Saccharomyces cerevisiae S288C: one gene and its partners. Changing the gene in region 1 together with any one later gene gives a genetic interaction. Each region holds a gene or a part of one and is shown in the gene's direction. Other genes may lie near its edges.

Evidence for each region.
Region 2: mutations in COS10 (region 1) and RPL43B together harm fitness more than expected from each alone (negative genetic interaction), as found in Saccharomyces cerevisiae (one large-scale study listed by BioGRID).
Region 3: mutations in COS10 (region 1) and YOL159C-A together harm fitness more than expected from each alone (negative genetic interaction), as found in Saccharomyces cerevisiae (one large-scale study listed by BioGRID).

Annotation. Positions count from the first base shown.
Region 1 is NC_001146.8:776,457-783,486, forward strand, and holds COS10 (Cos10p), read left to right. Parts: upstream 1-3,459; coding exon 3,460-4,584; downstream 4,585-7,030. Other genes in the region: AIF1 (Aif1p), read right to left, coding at 1,146-2,282; YNR075C-A (uncharacterized protein), read right to left, coding at 5,055-5,147; seripauperin PAU6, read left to right, coding at 5,462-5,824; YNR077C (uncharacterized protein), read right to left, coding at 6,831-7,030.
Region 2 is NC_001142.9:601,185-613,371, forward strand, and holds RPL43B (60S ribosomal protein eL43 RPL43B), read left to right. Parts: upstream 1-7,120; coding exon 7,121-7,122; intron 7,123-7,397; coding exon 7,398-7,674; downstream 7,675-12,187. Other genes in the region: BUD4 (Bud4p), read left to right, coding at 1-1,894; cleavage polyadenylation factor subunit FIP1, read right to left, coding at 2,036-3,019; transcription factor IME1, read right to left, coding at 3,385-4,467; SFC1 (Sfc1p), read left to right, coding at 8,589-9,557; YJR096W (aldo-keto reductase superfamily protein), read left to right, coding at 10,011-10,859; JJJ3 (Jjj3p), read left to right, coding at 11,229-11,747; YJR098C (uncharacterized protein), read right to left, coding at 12,002-12,187.
Region 3 is NC_001147.6:9,794-21,417, reverse strand, and holds YOL159C-A (uncharacterized protein), read left to right. Parts: upstream 1-5,912; coding exon 5,913-6,185; downstream 6,186-11,624. Other genes in the region: ENB1 (Enb1p), read left to right, coding at 107-1,927; CSS3 (Css3p), read left to right, coding at 3,622-4,137; YOL160W (uncharacterized protein), read right to left, coding at 6,764-7,105; seripauperin PAU20, read left to right, coding at 9,507-9,869; YOL162W (uncharacterized protein), read right to left, coding at 10,652-11,299; YOL163W (uncharacterized protein), read right to left, coding at 11,312-11,624.

The DNA of each region.
Region 1 (7,030 bases):
ATTTTGAACTATGAGTCTGCAACCACTGTAACCTCCTTCCTCCTAGAATATGATTGTTTCGAACTTATTTGGAAACGCTAAAAGTGATTCTTGATTATTTCTAGACTTTGCGATGCCCTCTCCGACCACCACAGCAGAATATACGAGGTATCCGTCCATATATCCACCACTGATGCGCAAGCTTAATTGGTTCACGTCCGCACGAAAAGTTTATAAAATGACGTATCATGGGGGGGAGTGTTGAATCAAAAAAGTGGCGAGCTAAAAATAAAAGAAAAGTGTACGTGGAATGAACTGTTTGCTGAGCTCATCCTACGGTCATTTTAGCCCGTGCCAAGGGAAAGTGACTATACGGTGGGGTATCGCGGGGTAAGGAGACTCAGGTACAAAGGCAAAAATCAAGATAGGCACATAAGAAGGCACGAAACTACCCCACGTTTCAAGTTTTGCTATATCCCTTATTTATTGCGCGCCCTGCAGGAAAATAAGTTTTAGGCACTTAAAAAATAAAGTTCCCGGGGTCAATTTCTGGTAGTGGCAAGCAAAGTATACTGAAGTTGGCAAGCAACACGTAGCCTCTGCATATATCGGCCTTTCTCGGAATGAAATAATCAAAAAAATATTATGCGGGAAGCCGCTGTTTTATTGAGCATTCTAATGCTTTCTTTTTCCCAGCACCTAAACCACACAATACTTTACTCCAGTTCCGTATTTGCCCCTCCCATGGCATCACGCCTATACCTTAACTGTTAATTCTCACCGTCCCCATTATACTAGGTTTAAAAAAGAAGGTGGTCAATCCTGTTGATATCTGTATCTCTATATAACAAAACTTCGGTATAAAACATTCACACTTCGAGTAAAATCAGTACCTATCTTCATGGACCCTCCAAAATGTCAAATTGTTATCAAGCGATTGATAACTCTAATGCACAGGTGTAATACCGTTTTACTACTGTCAAAGAAACTACATATAGTGTGAGAATCCAAAGCTAACATTTTCGAGTAACTTCGGGTTTTAATAGATTATTATCTGAATGCGAAGTTCAACATTTGTTGTTTCCAGCGGCCTTCTTTGTTTCACAATACAGAAACTAATATATATATATATATATATATATATACGCTGCAGTTCATATTTTAGTCTATTTTTTGAATAAAGGTTCCATTTTGTCGGAGAAAAGATTCTTCGACTTTGCTCTAGAAATTAAAAACGATGGAATATTAATCGTCCCAAGTAACGGTAGTGGAAATTGGCCAAACCCTGCATTTGGCCCAAGGGAGACACCACTTGGGGCATGTCCTGTCTCAAGACAATCTGCATCAACGAGACTAGCCTCTGTTCCTTCTTGTAAAGAACTTATAACATTTCGGGTCAAAACATCAACCCAATTATCTCTTTTAACCAATCCGTGATATCTAAAATTCGTTACATCACCAATGGCAAAAACGTTTCCTGCCTCAACAGCTTTTACCCTGAAGTTTTTTTCAACTTGAATGAACCCTTTCTTGTCACAAAGGTCTGAAATACTGTTGACCGGCACATTTGGAGAAATACCAACGCCTCTGTAAATCAAATCAGCATCTATATATTTAGATGAGCCCTCACCTAGAAAAATACGTTTCGGCGAGGTGTCTAAAGAAGCCCCTACTGTGTTCAAGTACAACGTAATACCATTTTTTGAGAGATAGTCTGTCACATTTTTTCTTAGGGTATCGTTGTATAACCCAGAGTCCGGCAGTAGCTTATCGGAATTATGAATAATGGAAATACGCTTTTTGCCAGACCTGATCTCCTCCAAATACTTGAATAACAATTCACCAGCTAGTTCACAATTAACAAAGCCACCGCCAAGAAAAAGTATGTGATCTGCATCTGAGATTCGAGAAGCCTCTCTTTCAAAATACTCTTTATAGTTATCCCCGAAGGTATAAGTTGAACCAATTGGATCAGCCCACTTTGAGCCAGTTGCAAGAACCAAGATATCAAACTTTATGGCCCTGTCTGACCCCAAAACTACCTCCTTATCATCAAAGCTGGCAGCCGTATCTTTGATAACTTCAATACCACTATCAAGAACATTTTTTAACGGCAGGATCGACTTGGTATAATCCTTTGAAACCGTCAAACGGACAGCTGAGGGTAGAAAATACACATAATTAGATGCTGTGACGAGCTTTATTGCGTATGTCCCACCCAGTTCCCTGTACAAGTGATTTGCCACAGACACACCAAACACACCAGCACCAACAACAACTATGTTCTTTGTGTTAATTGTCATATATTTTGCAATTTCTTTCTTCCTTTCTCTGCTCTTTCCTGTAAATAATGAAGAACAACGATGAGGAAATGTGTGTCTATCAATGATTTATCACTGCTTTCGTTTCTAGTCTGCAGCAGCTAATATATTAATACTTATAATAGGCTTCATTTGTCCAGCCAGATAAAAAGGACTAATCATGCAGGGTGGACATTCAATTAATTTTTATCGCTTTTTAACGATTACTAATCCAGTATTACCAACTACAATCACTCAGTCATGTATCACTAATAACGAAAAGTAAGCTGTACAATGCTCATCTTCCTAGCACTACTAGTACTGCTACTATGAGACACCATTGAAGTCTTCTTCAAGACCCCCATTATGAGAACACTTGGCTCACTATACAATCGGCGGGAGATGGGTTGTTATTATAGAGAGTTTCAGGAAAAGCACTCCTAGATTCTAGTCAAGTACTGCCTATTGTATAAGAGACGAGGGCACGAGATAGCGCAGTATTTTATGATGAAAATATGAAAATAAATACTTAACTCATTGAGTAAGCTTAGCTGGGCAACTTAACTAACAGTCAAAAAAAAAAAAAAAAAAAAAAAACAAGAGCCAGCAAACTGACATTAACATTGATCAATAAAATAAGAAAAAATGTACCAGAGAATTCGATTATGAACTGATGACAATATCATTAAAGACTTTGCACAGTATTCAAAAACTAATCGAGAGCTTTGACCAAAAAGTGTCCCGACTTTATAATGAGACCGCCGCTTAATTCATAGGAGTTATATGGTATGCTTTGGAAAGCTATTACATTGTTTGATAATTCAAAAATAAGCCACAATACTTCACCTATTGTGTACCATGTATTATAAAACATCGCAGCTCGTATCTGTAAACATACATTGACTTACATTTTAGTGATAACTTGGGTACTTGAGTGAAGTCCATTTCTCCCGTGCTTCCGGAACATAAACCAACATAGATTCTCTTTCACTCGAAACTGCTCGAAGCTGTTGCTCTTTTTTTGATCGTGGCTTTAACTATAAAACTCAACAGCTGCGTGATGAACGCGCTGTCAACAAATTTCATCTTGCGAATTATATAAAAAACACTGCGAGTGATTAAACCTCAGTAAACTTGTTACGTACCTCATAACATTAATGTGAAATACACTATATTGAATATGGGGGAAGAGATTAGACTTTTGTCCTCTAAAGGTCTTGAGACCCATAGTAGCTTTTGTTTGCCCGAGGATATTTTCAGAAACCGTTTAACATGGTTGTGCAGTGAGATTCGCAACTCAGGATTTTGGATCTGGTCGCTATCATGGTTACCGCTTGCCGTTTGGTGGGGGATGGCCAGTACTTGGTTTTATCCCCTTCTGACTTCAGTAGTTCTAATCCTGGCGCTAATTGCTATTTTGCCAGTAGTTCAAATACAGTACAGTAAATATACTTTATCAAATCAACTCACCCAGCTTTCTAAAGAAATCATCAAAAGTGCACCAGGTGCATACTCTGCTGATTGGGACGCTGTTGCAATACATTTCAATTCCTACTTGTATGAAAACAAAGCATGGAAAACTGCACATTTTTTTTTTAATGGTACTGACTGCCAAGAAGCATTCAGGAAAACCATTCTAGAGCCAGCTGTTTTGAGGAGACAAAACGAAGATCCTAGGTTCAGTTCAATTGAGATTTTGGTCCCTTACACCGAAGACGCGGTGCAGGTTTATTTTACAAAAGTAAACGCACAGTGGAGGTTGATCCATGGTAAGAAGGAATGCAAACTTACTATGTTGGAAAATGTCAAGCTTCCTAAGGAAACCTATCGCTGCAAGCTAGCATGGAGTTGCCAGAGAATCAGGATTTCTTTCTCTCCACTAGACTTCCTTCCTGATATGTCTGACTTCTTTATTTGTGCAAATTTATCACCAGCATGCTTGGTATCTTATTGGCTAATAGACATTTTCTTTAGAATGATAGATGATTTTCAAAACATAAGGCCTAAATCGATGAAAGTTGATGATAAAATGCAGTACCTATCAGATATTATAAACGAGCAGGGTGCTAGCCCTGAAAAATGGGATACAATTGCAAGGAAAACGAATACACGATTATTTGAAAAGAGGGTCTGGAAAAACGAAGAGTTTTTCTTTGATGGGACTGATTGTCAGGCATTCTTTGAACGGAACTTTAGTAGCCTTTTGTTCTCAAAAAAATCTGCGTCGCCTAGATCATTAAACGTTGAACTTTGGAAATACATTCAAGAAGCGCAATTGAGCTGTAACTATGAGCCGTTACCATAAAGATAGAAACATTTATTTTGACTTAGAAGCTACAAGGAGGATCAACTATTAATATTTTTCCTAGAGAACATTTTTAAAATTGGATTCAATAAATTAGCGCCATCTATTGCCCTTACACTTTTCTCCTTCATATCTGGCTAGAAAAGGGGGGGTTACATCTCGGAATCAAATATTTTCCTCTGCGTCGAGTTTTAATCCTGCTTCTGGTTACATTCTTTTTTATCATACACGATTCTTTGAACATCAACTTCTCTCAAAACCATCCGCCTTCAGCGGCTACAATTACGTAATTGCACCAAGGCATTCGCGGAGAATTCACGAATTTGCAGACGCCAACAGTATACGACTCCCAACACACGTCTAATATCTTGTACGGATTTCAAGAGATAGAAATATTACTTCCATGGAAGCCGTTTAGAGCAGACTGAATATGGGCTTAGACAATAAGCTTCTGAACGAGGGTCTTAAATCTAAATTCGGATTTTCTTTTTGACCGAAAGCGGAAACTTCGCAGGCGCGCAAAAGGGGTTTTCAAGGCACCTCGGCACCCCTATAATTGGCATTCTCACATTCTGCGCATACGAATACACATGAGTGCCATAAAACAGTACTCCACATACGAAGTCTATCAAAGATGTATGATTCGTTCAAAAACAAGAACATCTTCATAGTGATAATGAGATTGTGTGAAAGATGAGATATGGAGAATATGTGAGGTGCTAAATGAGCATCTGTTAACGAATCGTTTAAGTAGTGATAACAGATGGAGGAACGGGTATAAATAGAGCTGCTTCAACTATATGCCTTTGAGGTATGCGCTTTCATTTCACTATTTCTTGTTAAGATTACATCAGCACTAACAAACAAAACAAATACAATGGTCAAATTAACTTCAATCGCTGCTGGTGTTGCCGCCATCGCTGCTACTGCTTCCGCAACCACCACTCTAGCTCAATCTGACGAAAGAGTCAACTTGGTTGAATTGGGTGTCTACGTCTCTGATATCAGAGCTCACTTGGCCCAATACTACATGTTCCAAGCCGCCCACCCAACTGAAACCTACCCAGTCGAAGTTGCTGAAGCCGTTTTCAACTACGGTGACTTCACCACCATGTTGACTGGTATTGCCCCAGACCAAGTGACCAGAATGATAACCGGTGTCCCATGGTACTCCACCAGATTAAAGCCAGCTATCTCCAAGGCTCTATCCAAGGACGGTATCTACACTATCGCAAACTAGGGAGTGATGCCTTTACGAATGAAAATCCATAGACAGTGAAAAGTAATGAAAAAATAAAATAAAAAACTACTTTTTTTGATGATATAAATACCGTTGATTATATAAATGTATATTAATATTATAGACCTATTTGATCAATGACGGTGTTCGTGAAGTATTTCATGAATACGATAAACATAAGAAAGAAACTTTTACACTATTGTAGAAAAAGCGTGGACGGAAATAAAGCTAACAGAGTATGCCCAATAAACAACAATGAAATTGGAAGCGTATGACTTCGCAGCACTTTGTCCTTCCATAAAAATGAGTCGCTGCTTCTTTTTTCATTTTTTGGCGCGTCGCGTCGGGCCGTATAGAATATGCGTCACTTCTAAGAACAAGATTGCAGATCAGGGCAGTGCGAGTTACAAGTCATGGTACCAGACTCTCATTTAGAGACCCTCATTTTTGACACTTAAAATATCAAAATTTCTGGGTTGCGATAGTTTTTGTGTAACTGTAACTAGAAATAAAGCTGAGGGGTTAGTGTTTTATCAACAATAAGATAGAGGGTGGTAAGATGAAGTGAGACAATATCGTAACGTCCGTTTTAGTATACGGCGCTGATAAGTTATATTACCGTAGAATTATTTGGCGTTTCGTTGACTCCTACAAAAACAACAAACCTATCACCGTATCGTCTTCTTTAGATATAGTCTCTTCGTATGAGTAGTGTCACATACAAGATTAAAGATGCATCAGTTATCCTTTTAGGATATTGCGGTTAGCATATGGGAATGGAAATAGGATACAATTTTATCATAGCACCGGCATGAGTTTGAGCCACTACCGTATTGTTTCTCGGTGAATATAGAGTGTTACGACAGTGAGGTGGCATATTATTCTAATGTATGGTCTGTGAAAGTTAGAAATATTCTGAAATGGCATCCGTTCAAGCAAATGGTAATATTAAGGAACTTTTACGTTAATGACGTTATGGTAGTGCTCATACTTCAAGTCAATATGTTTATTTCGTAAAGTTGAAAGATAAATAATTTTTATGTTTAGGTGATTTTGGTGGTGATTTTGTGGGTATATTGAAATAAGTGTGTATAAATTGAGTGGTTAGTATATGGTGCAAAAGTGGTATAACGTATGTATTAAGAGCAGTTATACAATATTTGGGGCCGCCGAATGAGATATAGATATTAAAATGTGGATAATCGT
Region 2 (12,187 bases), on another chromosome or scaffold:
TAATAGGGGCGATTTACTATCTTTATCCTTTGATGAGGAATTGGGTCAGGATTTTGCTAATTTTCTAGACGCTTTGGATCATGACTCCACATCTTTCAATCATGGGCCGGATGATTCATCCAGTTTTCAAAGAGACAGTTCAAAGAAAAGCTTCAATTCTCTTTGGGAAAGCAGTTACGAACTAAAACCGCCACCTTCCATAAGAAAGCAACCTATTGCCCCCGACGTCCTGCAAAAATTATTAGAATCAGATACTAAAGATGACGCAGATTTGGAAAAAATTAGAGAAGAGCGTATAACTGAACCAAGGACTGGTTTGGGGATTGGAATGCTGAAAACACCAGTTAAGGATGTTTCAATTGCGCTAGCTGCAAGCATTAAAGGATATGAGGCAAGTTTCAGCGATACTGACTCTCGTCCAGAGGGCATGAATAATAGTGATGCCATCACTTTGAACATGTTCGACGATTTCGAAGAAGATAAAATGACCCCTTCCACTCCAGTTCGTAGTATAAGTCCAATAAAACGGCATGTTAGCAGTCCTTTCAAGGTCGTGAAAGCTGGAAACAAACAAGAGAATAATGAAATAAACATTAAGGCTGAAGAGGAAATAGAGCCAATGACGCAGCAAGAAACCGATGGTTTGAAACAAGATATTCCTCCACTGCTAGCGCAGACAAAAGATAACGTCGAAGCAAAAGAAGAAACGATAACTCAACTTGAAGAACCACAAGACGTTGAACAAGAATTTCCGGATATGGGAACACTTTATTTAAGTATAAAGGCTATTTCCACGCTTGCATTATATGGAACTAAGAGTCATAGAGCAACATATGCTATTGTTTTTGACAATGGGGAAAATGTCGTTCAGACACCCTGGGAGTCGCTTCCGTATGACGGTAACATCAGGATCAATAAGGAATTTGAATTGCCCATAGATTTTAAAGGAAAAGCCGAAACATCCTCCGCTTCTTCTGAAAGAGATAGCTACAAAAAATGTGTTATCACATTAAAATGTAAATATGAAAAACCTCGACATGAATTGGTCGAAATAGTAGACAAGGTGCCGGTGGGTAAGAGTTTTTTTGGAAAGACAAAGTATAAATTTGAAAAGAAGTATGTACAGAAAAAACCTAAACAAGATGAGTGGGATTATCTATTTGCACAAGACGGTTCATTTGCTCGTTGTGAAATTGAAATTAATGAAGAGTTTTTGAAAAACGTGGCATTTAATACCAGTCATATGCATTACAATATGATTAACAAGTGGAGTAGAATCGCAGACAAAATTCACGGCTCAAAAAGGCTGTACGAGTTACCACGCAAGGCGCCTCACAAAGTGGCTTCGTTGGATGTGGAAGCATGTTTCTTAGAAAGAACTTCTGCCTTTGAACAATTTCCCAAACAATTTTCATTGGTCAATAAGATTGTTTCCAAATACAAGTTGCAACAAAATATCTATAAAGAAGGGTATTTATTGCAGGATGGTGGTGATCTGAAAGGAAAGATAGAAAACAGGTTTTTCAAACTGCACGGCTCGCAACTTTCTGGTTATCATGAAATCTCTAGAAAGGCTAAGATCGATATTAATCTGTTGAAAGTCACGAAAGTCCTACGTAATGAAGACATCCAGGCGGATAATGGAGGGCAAAGGAATTTTACAGATTGGGTACTCTTTAATGAATGCTTCCAGCTAGTATTTGACGATGGTGAAAGAATTACTTTCAACGCGGAATGCTCTAATGAGGAAAAAAGTGATTGGTACAATAAGCTCCAGGAAGTTGTTGAGTTGAATGTTTTCCATCAACCCTGGGTGAAAAAGTATTGTGAAAAGTTAGCTGAGGAGGAAAAGACTCGAACAACCGGTCATAATTTGAAGCAAGATTTTAATTAGAAGGTGATTAATGGAATGAAAACAGCATATAATCTGATGACTGAGAGGTCTTTAGTTTAAAGATTAATTAAATACACATAATAAGAGTAAATACGTGAATCATGGACGATATATTTTTATTTCAATTTCACAGATCCCCATTCATTTCGAATTTTGATTTTGATTTTGATTAGGCTGTTGGTTCATGGGTGGCATCATACCTGGCATGGGGAATGGTGGAAAGCTACCAAACATAGGTAAGGGTGGGAAGCTTGGATGCATTGGTGGAGCGGGAGGGTTTGGTGTTCCAGACATACTATTACCCATATTACTGTTCAGATTAGACATATTTGCATTGTTTACGTTGTTGTTGTTATCAATTATATTACCGAGGTTTGAGTCTGTATCATTCGCGGAATTCAACTTCCCTTGCTGTTGGAGGGATAATAGGCCCATTAGGATCCTCCTAGGATTATAATCTTGTTGTAGTTTTTCCTGTCTATGTAAATACTCCATCCAGGTAAATTCGTTAAAACCGTAATTGAAATAATCACTTAAGTTGGCCCCCGGTTGCCTCCAGGGTTTCTCCTTTAATACTTCAGGATCTATTGTCGTTATGCCAACACTATCAAAGATTCCCTCTTTATCCAGGTCTATAGAACCAGTCATTGCTTTCGGTACATTTCCATCGCTCTCTGTAGCTTTTACGGTCGTTGCCGTTACACCTTGATTTGCTTCTCCTTCTGTTATTAGTCTTTCATCTGATGTCTTTGTGATGGTATTGGATACATCTGTAGCTACGCTAATTACGTCTTTGCTTGAAGATGTCGCTGCGGTAGAATAAGAATCGAGTAGTTTTGCATCTAACCTAGTAGGGTCAGGACCCAGACTTATGATAACCTCTAGGTCAGAATCACTATCGTCATCTGAGGAGTCAGAGTAGATATCTTCATCAGAACGATCATCTCTGGCAGTAGCTGGAGTTTCTTCCACGGGAGAGTCGAATTTTTGCCTTTTAACTATATCAGGATTACTGGACGCACCTGCGTCTGCTTCATCATCTCTTGATCGTTTAGATGAAGGTAGTGCTAATTCGGAGTCGGAACCATACAAGAACTTGTCGTCTTCGTCTTCACTGGAGCTCATTTAGAGAAATGCTAATAATTTTAGTGTAGGCAAAAGGAATAAGAATGCAAAGCACGATGGTGCGGTTTAACAAAGTGAATTTGGTGATGTACTCTCTCAAGATTTATGTCGCATTATTCGCTACGAAGGTTTTTCAAGATTAAAACGAATCTCCTTTCCCATCGCGACATACGATAAGGCTAATAACGCTACGGTATTATGTCATGGAGCTTGAGACATTGAATACATATATATACCTATATATAATATATATATATGCAAATACACAAATTCTTAGCAATTTGAGTGAGACAATGGAAATAAAGAAATGAGTGTGAATGGATATATTTTGAGGGAAGGGGGAAGATTGTAGTACTTTTCGAGAATTAAGAATAGGTTTTACTAAACTTGTAGGATATTTCTTGAAACCTGACCTTGTCATAATAATCTTGATCATTAGAACTGCTGAAGGAGTAAGCCGCAGCATATCTTGACAGTTTGGAGTTCAACTTTTTTAGGAATTCTAACTCTTTTGAATTTAATTTTTGTAGTGATGGCGGTGGTGATTTTTCAACGTCGAAGGCAATTTCTAATGGGTAATAGTAGGAGGGCACCTGAGGTTCATCTATAAATGGATCTGCCTCATATACATTATCGGAGGCGTTGTTATTATTGCTGGTATTATTATAGTAATTACAATTAGTGCTTTTATGGTTGCTATAGTGACGATTATTAAAGGAATGTATGTTATCAGTATGTGGTGGAAACTGATCTTGATATTGGGAGTATGAATCCGTGTTTTTTGAATTTATTGATTCATGAATATTTGTGGGTTTTGAATAGGTATAATTAGTGGTATATGGGTAGAAGTCTTGTGTGTATGGGAATTCATTGAATTCAAAATTTTCTTGGAATATTTTGATATCTTTTTGTGCATTTGTATTAGTTTCATATTTTATTGTGTCACTAATATCGATATCATCTCCATTTCTGTTGCTCTTTTGAAAGTTATCATGGTTATTGAATGATGAGTGGAACGTAGATGCGGATTCATCATTAGAAAAAAGAGATGATAATGAAGAGGATCTGGTACTTTCAGAGCTCTTTTTTCCTCTTTCAGGACCAGTTGCCATTGTGCAGTCCTTCGTAGTTTTCGTTTCCTTGGAAATAGGCTGAGAATCAATATTTTCCAAATTCAGAAACTCTTCATTGAACAATATTTGAGGATTAATTAAATGAATTGGTTGTGTATGAACCAAGTTCTGCAGCTGAGATGAGGCAATTTTGTCAGACTTTTCAAAATGCCAACTTCTAGGGGAAATTGTAGATCCAAAAGAAAAACAAGGACGGTCTTCTTGATCGGTGGTTGTGTCATAATAAATGTTAGGTTGTTGTTGCTGTTCAAAAGGAAAGAGGAAGAAACCATCTTCTAAGGCAGCGTGAAGTTTTCCATGCATATCCGCTTGCATTTTGTTTGTGGGGAGAGGAATAGAAAAGCTTTTCTTTTATTATTTTTTTCCTTTTTCACCAGTAATGGGTGCCAGTAGGAATTTGTTTCTCTGTAGGTGACTAATGACAGTAGTATATTATGCTTTTAATCTTTAACAATACTACTGGTCGATTTATAATATGATAATGTAAAATAAATCGTAATAGGATAGTCGATGTTTGTATCTACTTCACGAAACAGTTATGGTATACGGTAGTTTAAATATCTGAAGAAGCAAAAATACCGAACTACAAGGGAAGCATTTTGAGAAAAATATTAAGATCAAAAGATAATTAATTTACCTTAAATACATAAAAGAGGAAAAGTAATATACAAGGTAAACAACAGGCAAGGAACAAGATCAAAAACGTCCGACCCCAATTTAGTAGTAAATTACAGTAAGAGAAAAAGGTATTGGGGCTGATACATATTAATTGTGCGTTGTTGTTGTTGTTTAATTTTAGATTGGCTATTATGAGTACACACAAAACGTTGTAAACGCAATCACCCATGGATAAGCGCTCCCTTTAAAATGCACTACGAAATCATTGATCTACTAACTTTAAACCGGACTTAAACCATCAAAGGGTGCTCTAGATCTCATCGATGTATTCTGATGCAGCCAAAATTGCGCAATCAATCACGTTTCCCGATATAGAAAACTAATTGGCTGTGTTACGTGGCTGGGGGTTCTGTAATTCCTTTCTTCCCCGGTGAATCATCAAGATTGGGCTAAGCGCCTTTGATCCTTTCCCTCGAAGACGGAAATGGGGCCGCAGGATAAAAAATGGTGTGTCTGTAATTCCGATTTTTTGCTTATGTAATCATGTAACTTTCTTCTAGTCCCTTTGCAGACATGCATGACACTTCCTTACCCGAATAGTGAGTTAGATCTGTGTTAGGATGCAGGATGGGCAGTTCAAAGGCTTTTCTTATCGTATCTTTACCTTTTCCTGTAACTAAGAAGGTTTTTGAGTGCATGTAAAGGCACATAAATGAAACTTTAATTCCCTGCGTATTTAAGACCCAAGAAGCCACCATGACGCTTCCTTGATGTTGTATCTACCCCCAATCCTGGCGCCCCCTCCTGCGGGCACGCATGCGCCTTTGATCCTTCCCCTCGAAGACGAAAAGTAAACAAAGATACGCACTTTTTTTCTCCAACGCAGTATTGAAGGTACCATCACATGCTTACTCACTTTGCGGCTGCTATAACACCGTGGCAGTGTAACGTTTTACCGTTTGTCCTTTGCTACCGCATTTTAAAGTGGTACAAGATGTTGAGAGAAAAGATTTCCTGCAGCCATGATTAGGAGAGGTAATAGCGGATGACATCAACGAATAAGCTTTATCCAGCGGCTTGTATAGTTCTGTGTACACAATTACTGCCGGGCTCTCTGAGCATTTGCGTTTCTCGGGCTAGCTTCATTACTTAGTAACTTCAAATTAATGAAATATTTAATTATCATGATTCCAAACAAAACTACTTTAATTTCAATCACATTTTTGTTATCTGCCTGAAACGATAGCTGTACGGGTACGTTCTTGATAAATAAAACTCAGTGTTTAAAACTCTCTTTTTACATCTGTTCGCCGATGATTGCTTGCTCGGAGGTACTAGTCATCGGAATTGAGGAAATTCCTTTTCTCCTTTGTTTTCTCTTTATCCCCGCGTAAATACGCGGAATGCCAATAATCAAGTACACATTCTTTCTCCAAGTTGGCCAAAAAATAGTTCAAATTCTTTAAACTAAGCGCTATTAATTATTATTAATTATATAAGTTTGAAAATATCAATGCAGGACCCTATTTCTTCACGAGGGTGTATCCAGAAACGGTTTCTTATATAGTGTTGGCGCTCACTTTTTTCCTACCCACGTCTATATATGCAACGCCTACTTGTTTTAATCAACATCACAATTTTATGCTTTTGAGGTACAGCAGTTAGCCGTACGTTTTCGGCAGTCGCTAAAAATGTAAGCGCGGCATTTACTGCCATTTAGTGGACTTCTTGAGGTTCTTTTGACATCCGCATTCTTGCAGCAAATACACCCCCACCCTTCTTTTATTGAGAATATCTACTGAACCTCCGTGAGGGAATACATTAATCAAATTACTCCAACACCATACGGGCCGTGGCGGAAAGAACAGCATGATATAGATAATATATGATATGAATTGATTTTTTTTTCTTTTTTTCTTGCGGCTGGTATGGTATTGTAAGGATGATAGTGCATTCTATGAGTGATTTTTGTGACGGTGACGTACGATCTCTATACCTTTTTAGCCGCCCATCTTCTGCCTTTCATTTTTATGCCAACCCTCCATCCATACATCCTTTTTAACCCATACATATCATTTAGATTATTGTTTTTTAATTTTTTTTTTATCAGATGTTGTTCATCGCGAAATTTATAATCTTTCGATTGAATCGCACTTGTCGTGCATAATGATAAATACCTTCCGGAGAGAAAACTCAGACCCACTGGGAAGTTCCTACCTGCCGAGTAAGACCAGCTTGAAAAATTTGAAATTTCAACTGAGAATCAGAATATATTACTGCCCTTCGTGTTGTAGGGTTATTCATTAACTATATACGATATTATAAACAGCATAGATAATCAAACAAAAAAATGTATGCATATAATAGAGGAATTGGATGACTAAATGTTCTTATATTGGAGTTAGTGGAGATGCGTGGTAGATTTGAATTAAATAGAAAGTGCTGGGGTTGATAAACCACGAAATATCGCAGTTGAGGAGAATGATAAGCCAGGATAGATGGTAGCGCATTTTTGGGGCAATCTCACTGTAGGTCCACCACAACTCAATATGACTACATCGAATCAGTTATAAGGCAAGTTTTTAGTTTACTAACAAATATTTCCATCTTATTTTTTTTTTTTGCAGGGCTAAGAGAACAAAGAAGGTCGGTATCACAGGTAAATACGGTGTCCGTTATGGTTCATCATTGAGAAGACAAGTTAAGAAGCTTGAAATTCAACAACATGCCAGATATGACTGTTCCTTCTGTGGTAAGAAGACTGTTAAGAGAGGTGCAGCTGGTATTTGGACTTGTTCCTGTTGTAAGAAGACCGTTGCCGGTGGTGCTTATACTGTTTCTACTGCAGCTGCCGCTACTGTTAGATCTACCATCAGAAGATTAAGAGAAATGGTTGAAGCTTAAACTTCTTTCATTCATTTTCTCTTGGCTTTCACTAGGTATATCTATTCCATAACGACTATGTTTTGTATTTGTTAATTTACATAAAACCATATCAGTACATCAACGAACTGTAAAAAAGAAACTTTAGCATAATTATTGCGGATATTTAAACTCACTTGCAGGTAAGAGCAAAAGGCGATTGATTTCCAGTCCGCCTCTTGTCACGTGATTTAGTAAGAAATTTTGACAGCACCCTCGGTTTAATGGAAAAGAGGGGCGTTTTTCGATGAACCCGAGGGGAGACTAGAGAATCATCTCGGTTGAATGGAGCATTATTTTTTTAGTAGCGCCCGCCCGGAGAAATGGACGTTGGCGAATGAGCCATGAATTATTAACCGCCCATGTCTACCAGATACCACATCGTATGACAGTACCAGCCTAGTCCCGGTAAACCGCAAACGGACCTTAATTGTGACGAAGGGCCCAAATTTGATGGGTCGGTGTTAATGATTAGTCCTCATTGTCATAATAAAGTGTGATGATGGAGGCAATGATGATATACGGTAGTACTACTGCTCGAGGTGCTATCTTTTAACCAATCCTTTGAGATTCTTGTCGCCACGGAGTTACTACCTTTTACAAACCGTAATGTCACATTTTGCATATATCTTATGTATAAATATATAGTTCACTTACTACTTGTTCTCGTTTTGTTAACTTTCTTGTTGTAGTTCTTCTTGTTCTTGGCGTTTCCCCCTTTGTTTTCTATCTGCTTCATAAGTAAAGTGCAAAGCATTTTGGAAGATATTATCAATTGAGTCATTGAAAGAAACTTGGCATCTTCCCTATTACTAAAACTAAGAATACTTGATTCAAGAAAGAAGTTTATATTAGTTTTAGCCGTAAGATAACATAACAAAGAAGAAGAAAGAAAAATGTCTCAAAAAAAGAAGGCTTCCCATCCAGCCATCAATCTCATGGCTGGCGGCACAGCAGGTTTATTTGAAGCATTGTGTTGTCATCCTTTAGATACAATTAAGGTGAGAATGCAAATATACAGACGGGTAGCTGGTATTGAACATGTTAAACCCCCAGGATTTATTAAAACTGGGCGTACCATTTATCAAAAAGAAGGTTTCTTGGCTCTGTATAAAGGTCTAGGTGCTGTGGTCATCGGTATTATACCTAAGATGGCAATCCGTTTCTCGTCTTATGAATTCTATAGAACCTTATTGGTTAACAAGGAATCAGGAATTGTGTCTACCGGTAATACTTTTGTTGCTGGTGTTGGGGCTGGTATCACCGAAGCTGTTCTTGTCGTGAACCCGATGGAAGTTGTAAAGATTAGGTTACAAGCTCAGCATTTAACTCCGAGTGAGCCAAATGCTGGTCCTAAATATAACAACGCCATTCATGCAGCCTACACTATTGTCAAAGAAGAAGGTGTTTCTGCCTTATATAGAGGCGTTTCCTTAACTGCGGCAAGGCAAGCAACTAATCAGGGTGCTAACTTCACAGTTTATTCTAAACTGAAGGAGTTTTTGCAGAATTACCATCAGATGGATGTCCTACCTTCATGGGAAACTTCTTGCATAGGTTTGATTTCGGGTGCTATTGGGCCGTTTTCCAACGCTCCATTGGATACTATAAAGACAAGGCTGCAAAAGGATAAGTCCATCTCATTGGAAAAACAGTCCGGTATGAAGAAAATCATAACCATTGGTGCTCAACTACTGAAAGAAGAAGGTTTTAGAGCTTTGTACAAGGGTATTACCCCAAGAGTGATGAGGGTGGCTCCAGGTCAGGCTGTCACCTTTACCGTTTATGAATATGTAAGGGAGCATTTAGAAAATTTGGGTATATTCAAGAAGAATGACACACCAAAGCCAAAGCCATTAAAGTAGATGATGAACAATGGGACTACAAAATGAAATAAAGAAAAAATAGAAATAGGCTAGAAGATCAATTATTAATCGCCCTATTCTTCCTTATTACCTACACAAAATAAAGCAGCAACATAAGAAACAAAAACAAAATGAAAACAAACCAAATAAATCTATGTAAGCATACTCATTTCAATTTGATATTCATTACTTGACTTTTTTGTCCTTATTTGAGGCTCCATAAGCGCGCCATTTTTCCCTACTCCCTTTTTTCGTAAATAGTAATAATGTGCTGAAAAGAACAATGAAGTAGTTATCATACATATTCCGTCGTGTCGATATGAGGGGAGGTGTCTCTTTCTTTCATCCCTTGTCGCAACCTCCAATATATAAGAGCATAAGCAACTGATCTTACTTTAGTAATTAACTTAGCATACCTAGCCCGAAGGAAGAAAAAAAATTCACCTCAACAACATGGTTCCTAAGTTTTACAAACTTTCAAACGGCTTCAAAATCCCAAGCATTGCTTTGGGAACCTACGATATTCCAAGATCGCAAACAGCCGAAATTGTGTATGAAGGTGTCAAGTGCGGCTACCGTCATTTCGATACTGCTGTTCTTTATGGTAATGAGAAGGAAGTTGGCGATGGTATCATTAAATGGTTGAACGAAGATCCAGGGAACCATAAACGTGAGGAAATCTTCTACACTACTAAATTATGGAATTCGCAAAACGGATATAAAAGAGCTAAAGCTGCCATTCGGCAATGTTTGAATGAAGTCTCGGGCTTGCAATACATCGATCTTCTTTTGATTCATTCGCCACTGGAAGGTTCTAAATTAAGGTTGGAAACTTGGCGCGCCATGCAAGAAGCGGTTGATGAAGGATTGGTTAAGTCTATAGGGGTTTCCAACTATGGGAAAAAGCACATTGATGAACTTTTGAACTGGCCAGAACTGAAGCACAAGCCAGTGGTCAACCAAATCGAGATATCACCTTGGATTATGAGACAAGAATTAGCAGATTACTGTAAATCTAAAGGTCTCGTCGTCGAAGCCTTTGCCCCATTGTGTCACGGCTACAAAATGACTAATCCAGATTTATTAAAAGTTTGCAAAGAGGTGGACCGTAATCCAGGTCAAGTTTTGATTCGTTGGTCTTTACAACACGGTTATTTACCACTACCGAAGACTAAAACTGTGAAGAGGTTAGAAGGTAACCTTGCAGCCTACAACTTTGAACTGTCAGACGAACAGATGAAATTTCTTGATCATCCTGATGCTTATGAGCCTACCGATTGGGAATGCACAGACGCGCCATAAAAAGAAAATGCGAACCGTAGAATAACGTATATAGAACATATAATTAGTTTACGTTTCACAAAGTATTAATATTACATGTAGCTTTTTCAGGACTTTCGATCTAAATCAAAGATTAAAGGAGCTGCTAGAGGTAGAAAAGGAAATCATTGACTTTTCTTGAAGATTTATGAGCGGGTAACTGGAGATGGAAATTTTCAGAAAAATTGTAAATGGATGCGATGACTTCGATGTGACGTTACTAGTCTTACCATTGTAAAAACCACTATCGGTGCCAAAAGATAAGCGCAATCAACTAAGAAATTTACCACGCTCTTTGTATTGTATTTATCTCCAATTTAATCTTTCTTTTGGTGTGAAAATTTAGCGAAAATGTCATTGGTGAATTCGTTAACACACTACGAAATTTTAAGAATTCCATCGGATGCAACACAAGATGAAATCAAAAAGGCATATAGGAATCGGTTACTAAATACGCACCCCGATAAACTTTCTAAAAGCATACATGATACGGTTAGCAACGTCACAATCAATAAGATTCAAGATGCTTATAAAATACTATCGAATATAAAAACTCGTCGCGAATATGATAGGTTGATCCTTGAAAACTATAAACGCCAAGGATTTCATAATTGTGGTGATGGGCTGGATGAATTTTCCTTAGACGATTTCTCATTTGATGAAGATAAGCTGGAGTTTATGATGAATTGTCCTCGCTGTCAATTTGTTGGTGGTTTTCATTTTAGTGAGAGTTTGTTAGATGAATGCATTGATAATGTAGACGCTATGGAACGGAGTCATTCTGGTTATCAATTATTAACCCAATGTAGCGCATGCAGCTTATGGCTGAAGGTTAATTTTGACATCGAGGAAGAGCAAGAAGGACAATAATGAAAATGGGAGGGGAAATTGAGCATATCAGATAAATCTGTTTATAGAATTATTATTTTACTTCGTGGGAAATCGAATGGTGTATATAAAAGAGGTTGTAAAATTGACGAAATAAATAGTATTTAGGCAACTAAAGATAAAAAAATATTATTTATTTTTATTCGCGGTGCGTTGCCAGATTTTTTTTGACATGCGGAATTTTGGTAAAAAGAAAAATGCAGATATGAATAGTAAACAAAGGAATAAAAAGCCTTTCATGAAGAAGTTCGTGTTCGAGATCTTCTTCCTTCTTTTTCGCTGTCGACGATAGATATGAATGCTTTTGCCATTGATTTCAAATCCGTCATTAAGCTAACATGACCTGAAGAACTGGCGATTTTACAAACAACTGGAAAGCCTCTCTGTTCAGGCAATAACCATTTATGGTGAACAACACCGTC
Region 3 (11,624 bases), on another chromosome or scaffold:
GGTCTATGTTTGGATAATAGAGATGACTTATTTAATTGAAATGATGGTTTGGGTCCTAGCAGAACTCTAATATAGCAAAAAAGTGCTCGTGAATGTCTCTCTGAAAATGCTGGAAACTGATCACTCTAGGAATGACAATTTAGACGATAAAAGCACTGTCTGCTACAGCGAAAAGACAGATAGCAATGTTGAGAAGTCTACCACGTCTGGCTTGCGCCGTATAGACGCTGTCAACAAGGTCTTGTCTGACTACAGCTCTTTCACAGCTTTTGGAGTTACGTTTAGTTCACTCAAGACCGCCCTACTGGTGGCTCTGTTTTTGCAGGGTTACTGTACTGGACTCGGAGGGCAGATTTCGCAATCAATACAAACCTATGCCGCTAACAGTTTTGGAAAGCATTCTCAAGTAGGATCGATCAATACCGTCAAATCAATAGTAGCCTCTGTTGTCGCAGTGCCATACGCACGTATATCTGATCGGTTTGGACGTATAGAATGCTGGATTTTTGCGCTTGTGCTCTATACTATTGGAGAAATTATTTCTGCTGCTACTCCAACGTTTTCCGGACTTTTTGCAGGTATTGTTATACAACAGTTCGGTTATTCTGGATTTCGTCTTCTTGCTACAGCACTGACTGGTGATCTGTCTGGATTGAGAGATCGTACATTTGCGATGAACATATTTCTGATTCCCGTGATTATAAACACATGGGTAAGTGGAAATATTGTTAGCTCAGTTGCTGGTAATGTTGCACCATATAAATGGCGTTGGGGCTATGGAATTTTTTGCATCATTGTGCCCATCTCCACCCTAATATTGGTCCTTCCCTATGTGTATGCTCAGTACATTTCCTGGCGCAGCGGTAAGTTACCACCATTAAAATTGAAAGAAAAAGGACAGACCCTGCGTCAAACGCTCTGGAAATTTGCGGATGACATAAACTTAATTGGAGTCATTCTTTTCACTGCTTTCTTAGTTTTAGTATTATTACCTCTCACAATAGCTGGTGGAGCCACCTCCAAATGGAGAGAGGGTCACATTATTGCAATGATTGTGGTTGGTGGCTGCTTAGGTTTTATCTTTCTAATTTGGGAATTAAAATTTGCTAAGAATCCATTTATCCCACGAGTATATCTAGGTGATCCAACCATCTACGTTGCATTGCTAATGGAATTTGTATGGCGTCTAGGTTTGCAGATTGAGTTAGAGTATTTGGTCACCGTGTTAATGGTAGCATTCGGAGAATCAACATTAAGTGCGCAGCGGATAGCTCAGCTTTACAATTTTCTACAGTCATGCACTAATATTGTTGTCGGCATTATGCTGCATTTCTATCCTCATCCGAAAGTCTTTGTAGTCGCTGGGTCGCTTCTTGGTGTCATCGGAATGGGTCTTTTGTACAAATACAGGGTGGTATATGACGGGATTTCGGGTCTTATTGGCGCTGAGATTGTGGTCGGTATAGCTGGTGGTATGATACGTTTTCCTATGTGGACGCTAGTGCACGCTTCAACCACCCACAATGAGATGGCAACTGTCACTGGGTTACTAATGTCCGTTTATCAAATCGGAGACGCAGTAGGTGCTTCCATCGCTGGTGCTATATGGACTCAGCGTCTGGCAAAGGAGTTGATACAGCGACTCGGCTCTAGTTTAGGGATGGCAATCTACAAATCACCACTCAATTATCTAAAAAAATACCCTATTGGATCAGAGGTTCGTGTTCAGATGATAGAATCCTATTCGAAGATTCAACGCTTATTGATAATTGTGTCCATTTCGTTTGCGGCTTTCAATGCTGTTCTCTGTTTTTTCTTGCGTGGCTTTACTGTAAACAAGAAGCAAAGTCTTTCCGCAGAAGAACGAGAGAAAGAGAAGCTCAAAATCAAACAACAATCATGGCTCCGTCGTGTAATTGGATATTGAGCTGGAGAGTACTAGCGATACAAATATAGTGTTAAGCTCTTTCCTGAACTAGAATTCTCTTTGAAATAATCACTGTTAATGTAAGTAGTAATCAATAATGGCGTGTAACAGTATAATATTGTTGTCTGAAATAAAAAACAACAAAAAGTTCGAATTAGTTTTATTTTATTTTTCTTTTCTAACTAAGTGAATATCCATACGTTTGTTACGTTTATTTCAGCAATATTATAGTCTTAAATGGGCTTGACAATACAAAAATCAATGAGATTATTCGCACCTGTCATTTCCCGTAGTTTTTATAAAGAAATATAAAAAAAAATGTTGCGAAGAACTTTTACTAGAGCGTAAACGAATTAAAAAAAATTAGTAGTGTAAATATAATCACCACCTGCCGTAAGCCTGCTTGAGCCCTTTATTATTTAGTTTTAGCTGTTGCTAACCTGACTTTCATACTTCTTATAATTGACGTCATAAAAAATATTCAAAGTTCGAAAGAATGAAGAAAACATTGACCGACTTAAAAGAAGCAGTAACCCCACGAAATTTTAACCAGTGCTGATTGTGCGAGAAATCGACTCCAACAGTCTCAGATCAGAGAATATATGAAATATTAGTGGCCCCATACTTATAATGGTTCGCTGATTAATGTATAACAAGCGTGAAAGTATGTATAGCTGCACGGATTGTAGATAGAGCTCATTTAATATTAGGTATTTTGCCCATGTCATTTTTGTGCAAGTCATTTTCTCCTTTGGAACTAAATTTTCTTTAAAATATCTCATATACAAAAAATCCTAACTCACAAGTTAATGTTTTCCATCATAAGTAGACGTTTATTTAAAACATGTTATTATATATTGATCCACTCTTTGCAGTGTCGTTTTCCTACAAAAATTAGATACTTAATCTTGAGGAGTGTAGAAATAAGTGAAGGCGACATAAAGATAGAGAAACAGCCATGAAATTTAGTGAAAGCTGACACTCAAGAATTAGGAATGTAATAAGATAATGAATCACAACATATAAAATGGAAAGTGAAGTAATAATACTATTCTATAGAATAATCGACGATCCTTCATGAATTGCTATATATCTGAGGAGAACTTCTAGCATATCCTGCATACCTAATATTATAGCCTTCAATAATAATGAAAATCCTAACAATTATCCAATTATTCACCAAATTCTCTATTTCAACAGTAGTATTATGGCATTGATTATATTGCAAGCTATAGATTCGATTTCATGAATTCATAACACTCTAAAAGAGAACTTCTGCAATACTCTGTACAAATAACATTATTACTTTTACTAAAAATAGATTTCCGGACACTAACTTTTGAATTCTTATCAAAGCAGTCGAATGCCGCGTCCTACGGTTTATGTATATAGATTTAAAAATACACGTTAAAGACTGTTTTCTCCATAATTCTTGTTTAATATACCTATGAACATAAGCGAGTCAATCAAACTCGGGAGTAAAATGCTTTAAGGCACGCCGCTTAACCTTTTAAAATACATGTCTGAACATTATGTAACCAAACTAAAATTGCTTTTAAATGGATCCGCGCAATATCTAAAAACATTAACTATAAAGGATAAAAATTTTGGACAAAAAATAGCAGTAGCATGTTTGCTTCCTAAGCGTTTGAAGTCAAAACCATTTTTAAAAGGGTAGAGAGGCTTAGTAAAAAATGGTTCCCTTATTTGGTTTATTTTGCATTTTTTCTCAATTGTACTCATTATGCTCCGCATATGTTGATATCACCAGCGGTTACCAAGTATTTTTCAACTTGCCAACTAATATGACAAACAATCAAATATGCTGGCTATTCCAAGCATCTTACTATGATATTTATTCTGATAAAAGTGGTAGAACACTTAGAACGGGACGGTTTGAACCCGGCGATCAGCAATCTTTGATTTATAGGGATACCTTAGTTGAGTTGGAGGCTATTACAGATTCTTATGAGTACAGTAACCTAGATCTATCGACTTATAACGGACCTGAGCCATATAATTCTGAGACTGATTATTGTACAGATATAATGGATTTGGTAATGCGTGTATATGATGAAGAAGGACATTATGTTCATCCAGTTGCGAATAACTCAACAAATGCTTGCGCTCATCCAACTCCTCCTACGTTAAACAATCTATTGATAAGTAATTATTCTGACGGAAGAAATTATAAAGAGTCTTCTATATAATGGTGTAGTAAGGATACTGGAACCCTTTTATGACACATTTAGCAGTAAGATACATTTTTGGTTGATGTGATCAAGATTTTTTAGTTTGTAGATTTATTATATAGCACTGGGACATCATTAACATCGCACTTTCGAGTTAATGTATGTATACACAACATCGAGGAACAACAGCATCTAGGGTTAATGACATTGTATTGTATACTTTCGTTGTGCTAGTGGTGGCGTGATGCAAGAAGCTGATACATACCTGAAAATGAAAGAGGACGTAGCTATACGGTGTTTGTGGACGAGTTCACATACAGTACTGAAAAAGATGAGGATGGGCTGAGATAAAGTTTGAATGATAATGAATATTATTACATCTTCTTTCATTTTATATACCGTCATTCATTATCCCATGAAATTATCAAGCCTCGCGTTTCAACCTCTACTAAAATCGTTGACTGTTTCTCAATATTTATGTCTTTCTTACGTTGTATACGATAATATACACGTACTATGGATACTAGTCGATATATGATAGTTAATTCTCATTCCAATAAAAGTCGACACTACCGCTACCACCTAAAGTTATACTGTTTTTATGCGTGCGTACGCAACAGTTCATCAGAAAAATGTCTATCGTCAGAATCATCCCTCTGACATTTCAATTCCAAAAAGATTGCTCTATCTTTGGAAAGTGGCTAAACCTAGGAGTATTATAAAACTCACAAGTTCTTAGAACTTGCTTCGAGAGATCATAACAGGACAAGTATAATACGAGACGGAATAAGATTATCATACCAAAGATACAAAATAAAACAATTGGTAGTCTAAGGTGACAAAATTAACTGAAGCTGTAGCTAGCAATAAAAAAAAGATTCAAGATGTTCAGGGAGTGACGTATATTCCAATGCTTCCAATACAGCAGGCTTCAAGATTGTTGCTTCACTTTCAGGGCGGTGATTTGAAAGCAAACTCCCAAATTTACACTTAATTCTTCTCCTGAGCTGTTCAATGCAAAATGCACAAATTGTTATTTCCCATATAATAATTCCAGTTGACAGCACTATATCTAAAGGTTTCCGTATAATGATGATTTACCGCGTAGTATCATATAAGGGAGTAACAACAGCATTAATTATCGTGCCATTACTAAAAATAACTTAAGCATCAAGCGTAAATTATTGAACTCCAAACTCTATCAAACACTTAAAATAAACCAATATTGAAGAAAATTCGCAATATGTTGTAAAGATTCTGCTGACTAGAAATGGCAGGTAGGATTTTTTTTTTCTATCTAAAATGGTAAGATGAGCATTTTTTACTTGGAACGAGTGTAAAAACAGCAAGGTTACAGCCACATAATTCTCTAATAATACTGATGGAAAGCCGTCTTATTCGGAAGCTGTGAGTATTTTTTTCGTTGATTTGTTGCCAAAAAAATCCATGCAGAAGTGTACTCACTGGTTTTCATTTACCTTTTCAGCAGCACACCTGCCTGCCCCTTATTTTTAACGATTTCTTTCCATTTAGCGTAACTGCTGCCTCGGATTATTATGGTGTTTTTCCACCAGCTCTGCTTAAAGCGTAGAGTTCGCTTGTCTTCTCCCTCCCATCAACAGGAATTTTATTGATCGCGTAATTTCCTACCGACAGTTTGCAGAATGCCAGGTCAGACAGATTAAATATTAAATGAATAGCCCCATAGAATAAGTACTATATATACGCTGCTAGTTTCTTTGTTTTGTCGAGTTTGGGACCAAACCAATACCATTTGTGGAATCACTGCACATATGCAATACTGTGAACTCGATTTATCAGGGCAGTGGCTGGATACAGTATATTGTGAAGAGAATTTCTCCGACTTTGTCTTTATAAAGTTTCTAAATCCTTCACAGTTTGAAGAGAAGATATATTGTTATACTTTACATATCACCAAAAGGACACTAGAAAATAAGAGATTACTTTTGTATTATGAAGATGAATTCAAAAAACATGGTCACGATATTAATGAGCTTGTTGGCGACGGTATAATCTTGCGTTCATGCTGGAACCCTCGACAGTAATCAGACCGAGATTCATGCGTATGCTAGCTCTGTTGTCGACTCAGTAAACTTACAGCAAACCAATGGTACTATCAATCTAATCATAACTGAATTCAATGGTACTACCATTGGCTTTGATACAAACGTTACCAAAATTAATATTCTTGACGCCGACTTTTCTTTTCTTCGCCAACAAGTCAACCAAGAAATGCTAAAAAGAGGAAAAGGGTGTCTTAACGCAAGGTATCGTATCTCGACTGGAGGTTGTACTGATTGCGGTAAATCGCTCGGCTATTCATCTGCACACAATTGCGGTGGAAAGGGCTATTCATGCATTAAAACGTGCACAGAGAAGAATGGTCATGTTTGCTGTGAAGAGTGGTGTGGATCCAAACGCGCTGTCCAAAAAGAGGGATTTGAGAGTGGATGCTGCTTTAATAATCAATGTTACGGTGGCCATGACCACCATGATGAGCTTTAAATAATAAAGTTTAGGTAATATATATAAAGTGGGATAGTATACAAGCAAGAACGTATTAAAATAAAAGCTGGAAAAAAAAGTCACCAAAGCACGCATCTATGTGATGGCTTATTCAATCTTATATAAAGAAGAGCAATAATCTTGGGCTATTTTTGACTGAGAAAACTCTGTTGTTGGCCATTTTTAGAAAGAAGCACCCATTTTTTTTCCGATTTCCTATCCTACTCACCTGGTAATTGTAACAGTGCTTTTTCAGTTCCATCATGTACTTTCGCCTCTTAATACGATTAAACACAGCTTTAGACCAGTTTAAAGAGATACAGTGATTAAATAAGGTGGTCTGCAATAGAAATATTGGAAATGATATGTTATGATAATTTTCCAATGTAGCGCTATAAAATTGGCAGCCGTATATACCTCTTGTGCAGCTCTGAAGACAAATGAATGCTATATTTTCCATACAAAACTGTCATATAGAATCGTGCAAGAAAGAAATCACCCCCTTATGTCTAATAGTAATGTTTTTAGAATTGCTAATTTTTAAAATACCAGTACTTCTTCTATTAAGAAACAGATTAAAGCTCTTGGTGCATGCATGTTTATTCTTGAAGAGTATTTAGCAGAATGCCCACCCACACACTGATAAAATTGCTGATTGGAAGATTATCTTCGTCTTAATTCTTAAATCCTTCTTATAAAAAGACTATCAAATACAAGCTATTCTGAGTTCTCAATGAGGTAAAGTTTTTTTTTTTCTTTTTCTTTTTTTTTTTTTGATCTCTACTTGAGTTATTATGACGTATAACTTGTTTGTTTATTCCTCTATACTCAATTTTCATTTTTATTTTGGATCATATGGTAAAGGTCCATGATCATCAGGATCAACTAATCGAATAAAGTTTAAAGATTTCAAATCGTGTCTATAATACGATAAAAACAGATGTACTGATGCTCTTATCAGAAGCTTAGAACTACAGAGAGTTTTATAAAAATATGCGAGTGTCCAGCTCCCGTGTACCTTTTGCACTTAAAAAGTACCACATAGTAAAATCATATATTTCTTGTGGACTACGAAAGACCAAGTGTGATAAAAAGAGGACGATTTTGTCAGTAATAATTCCCTTCAGATTGTACATATACAGACCCGGTAGAATTAAACTGACTTGGTGATAAGCTCTACAGTCGAAACTCTTGATCAATTTGCTAATAGTGACTGTTTCACAATTAAAATTGTTTTGGTTATTTTTAGATATGATGTTTGAATGCAATACAAATTTCTGTATTTTTTGGGATCGTTTTACGCATTGAAAGCTTCAAACCTCATAAAACCTTAAGTTTATCGTTAGTCTGACAGATACCAATAAACCTATGTTTGTCTCACTTATTTCTAATTATTTTTATATAAGTTGAACGATACTGACTACCGTCCAATGTTATACAATATAAATCTTCAACATTAATAAATTCTTTTTAAAAAACCCTGTTTATGTTAAGTTAAATCATAATGAAGAAGAATCTGTCCTACTTTTTCTATGCCTGTGTTTCCAAGGAGTGGTTTAACCATATCAACACAACAACGAGTAGTAAATTATTGCTATCATATGTTTTTGGATGACGAAAATCAGAGCGATAACATATGTGCCTGTTTTTTAAAGCAGAATTAAGAATACGTTTACCATGGAACGGTGACTTACAACGAATCACAAAATGGTTAGAATTGTAAACCTCTACGACTGCCTGCGACTCCCAACACATGCTTCTTTCCTCATTTTTTGGTATGGAAAAGGAACTGTATTTCATGGGTTTAGAAAAAAAAAAGAGTTTCTCTATAGTGGGGCTGGTTGTCAGGCATTCTTTGAACGGAGCTTTCGTGGCCTTTTGTTCTCAAAGAAATCCCTGTCGCCTAGATCATTAAACGTTGAACTTTGGAAATACATTCAAGAAGCACAATTGAGCTCTGACGGTGAGCCGTTACCATAAAGATAGAGACATTTCTTTTGACGTAGAAGCTACAAGGAGTATCAATAATTAATGTATTTCTCCTGGAGAACTTTTTTAAAATAGAATAAAATAAAGTAGCGCTATCTATTGCCGTTTCACTTTTCTCCTTCATATCTGGCTAGAAAAGGGGGATTGCATCTCGGAATCAAATATTTCCCTCTGTGTAGAGTTAATTCTGCCACTAAGAAATGGTTACAGTTTTATTTTTATCATACACGATTCTTTGAATATCAACTTCTGTCAATACCATCCGCCTTCAGCGGCTACAATTACGTAATTGCACCAAGATAATCGCCGAGAGTTCACAGATTTGCAGACCCCAACAGTATACGACTCCCGACACACGTCTGATATCTTGTACGGATTTCAAGAGATAGAAATATTTCTTCCATGGAGATCGTTTAGAAAACACCGAATAAAGGCTTAGACAATAAGCTTCTGAATGAGCGTTCAATTCAGACGTTCTTTTTTTGACCAAAATGGAAGCATCACAGGCACGCGAAAAGGGTTTTTTCAAGGCACATCTCGACACCCCTACAATTGGCATTCTCACTTCCCCCACATACGAATACACATAGGCACCATAGAACAATACCTTCGCATAAGAAATTCATGATATATGCATGCCTCGTTCAGGAACAAGTGCATCTTATTTTTAATGATGAAGATGGTGCGAAAGATGAAACATGAAAGGTGTGAAGTGATAAATGAGCATCTGTTAACAAATCGTTTAAGTAGTGATGACTGATGAAGGCATGGGTATAAATAGAGCTGCTTCAACTGTATGTCTTTGAGAATATTTTTTTATTCCTTTCTTTCCTGTTAAGCTCATATCAGCACTAAAAAACAAAACAAATATAATGGTCAAATTAACTTCAATCGCTGCTGGTGTCGCCGCCATCGCTGCTGGTGCTTCCGCAACCACCACTCTAGCTCAATCTGACGAAAGAGTCAACTTGGTGGAATTGGGTGTCTACGTCTCTGATATCAGAGCTCACTTGGCCCAATACTACATGTTCCAAGCCGCCCACCCAACTGAAACCTACCCAGTCGAAGTTGCTGAAGCCGTTTTCAACTACGGTGACTTCACCACCATGTTGACTGGTATTTCCCCAGACCAAGTCACCAGAATGATCACCGGTGTCCCATGGTACTCCACCAGATTAAAGCCAGCTATCTCCAAGGCTCTATCCAAAGATGGTATCTACACTATCGCAAACTAGAGACTGATGCCTTTACGAATGAAAATCCATAGACAGTGAAAAGTAATGAAAAATAAAATAAAAAACTACTTTTTTTGATGATATAAATACCGTTGATTATATAAATGTATATTAATATTATAAACATATTTGATCAATGACGGTGTTCGTGAAGCATTTTATGAATATGATAAACATAGAAAGAAATTTTACACTATTGTAGAAAAAGCGTGGACGGTAATAAAGCTAACAGAGTATGTCCAATAAACAACAATGAAATTGGAAGCGTATGACTTCGCAGCACTTTGTCCTTCCATAAAAATGAGTCGCTGCTTCTTTTTTCATTTTTTGGCGCGTCGCGTCGGGCCGTATAGAATATGCGTCACTTCTAAGAACATGATTGCAGATCAGGGCAGTGCGAGCTACAAGTCATGGTATCAGACTCTCATTTAGAGACCCTCATTTTTCGACACGTAAAATATCAAAATTTTTGGGTTGGCACAGTTTTTTGTGGAACCGACCAAGAAAACCAAGATTTATAGCAAATTATAAATTTCAAATCTCGAATATTTAACTCAACAATATAGTGAATAAGCTCATCATACCCTAAACAAACCTAAGCAATCACCTAAACATATAATTAAGGAAAAAGAGTGATTAGTTCATAAACACCAACGGCAATAGGGTAAATATAAGTCCTTAATCCATCTTATTGAAAATAGTATAGAACATTAAATGAAAAAAATGATTCACAAACTTAAAAAATACATAACATGGAGATTGTATCCATATTTCTACATAGTTCAGTGATAGAATCTAAAATCGAGTCTACGTGAACCAGCATCACTAGTAGTACTTAGATAGTGGTCTTTTTCCTCTTCTGACATTGCATTCCACCTCTTATCCCTCTGCTTGTTGATATAGACATAAATCAATTTGCTACCAATTAATATTGGAAACATAAAAAGTGCCAAACCAAAAAGAACTCCATTTCCCTTACGATAGAGTGGGGCATCGCTTTTCGCATAAATGTTTGAGGATATGATGAGACCTGCTTGCACGAACATATTGTACAAGCAAGTAGATACTGTTCTTGTTTTAACTGATTGGGAGTTTCTAGAACACAAGGATACACAAATTGCATGGATATACGGATTATCTAATATTAAGGTAATAATTGCATAAGTTCCCCATTTATTAAACATTGTACCTTTCCAAAAGCGAAGAACTGCAAGAAGAGGAACAGTGTACAACGGTTGTAACAGACTCAAACCTAGCCTGTTATTACATTTTTCTGTCGACCATGTTAAACCAAACAGCAGGAGAATATGAAGAACAAAGTTAGGAATAGCTAGCAGGTTGGCTTGAAAGGTTGTGAAACCGATACTTCTCAATACCAAAGTCAGGTATGTGGCCAAAACGTTCGTAGGGATATAAGCCAAAAGGCCCATCAAGTAGATAGGCTATATATAGTAATCTGTTATCCCCTGCCATAACATTTTAAGTGACATACCTTGCCTATTGTTCATATCCCCTTTTGTCGGATCATCTCTCAGAATCTTGTTTACGATGATTTTTTCTTCCCTCTCAGTGAACCATCCTTTCTTGCTCCAAGGTTTCTTCGTTTGAACTACGGAGGGTACCATCAAGAAGTATGCACTGATACCGATGACTAAAGTGAAAATTCTTTCTATCAAAAAAAGCCATTGCCACCCTGCCATGCCACCTATCCCTCTCATGTGAAAAACCCCGAAGGCCACAATTGAAGTGATGATT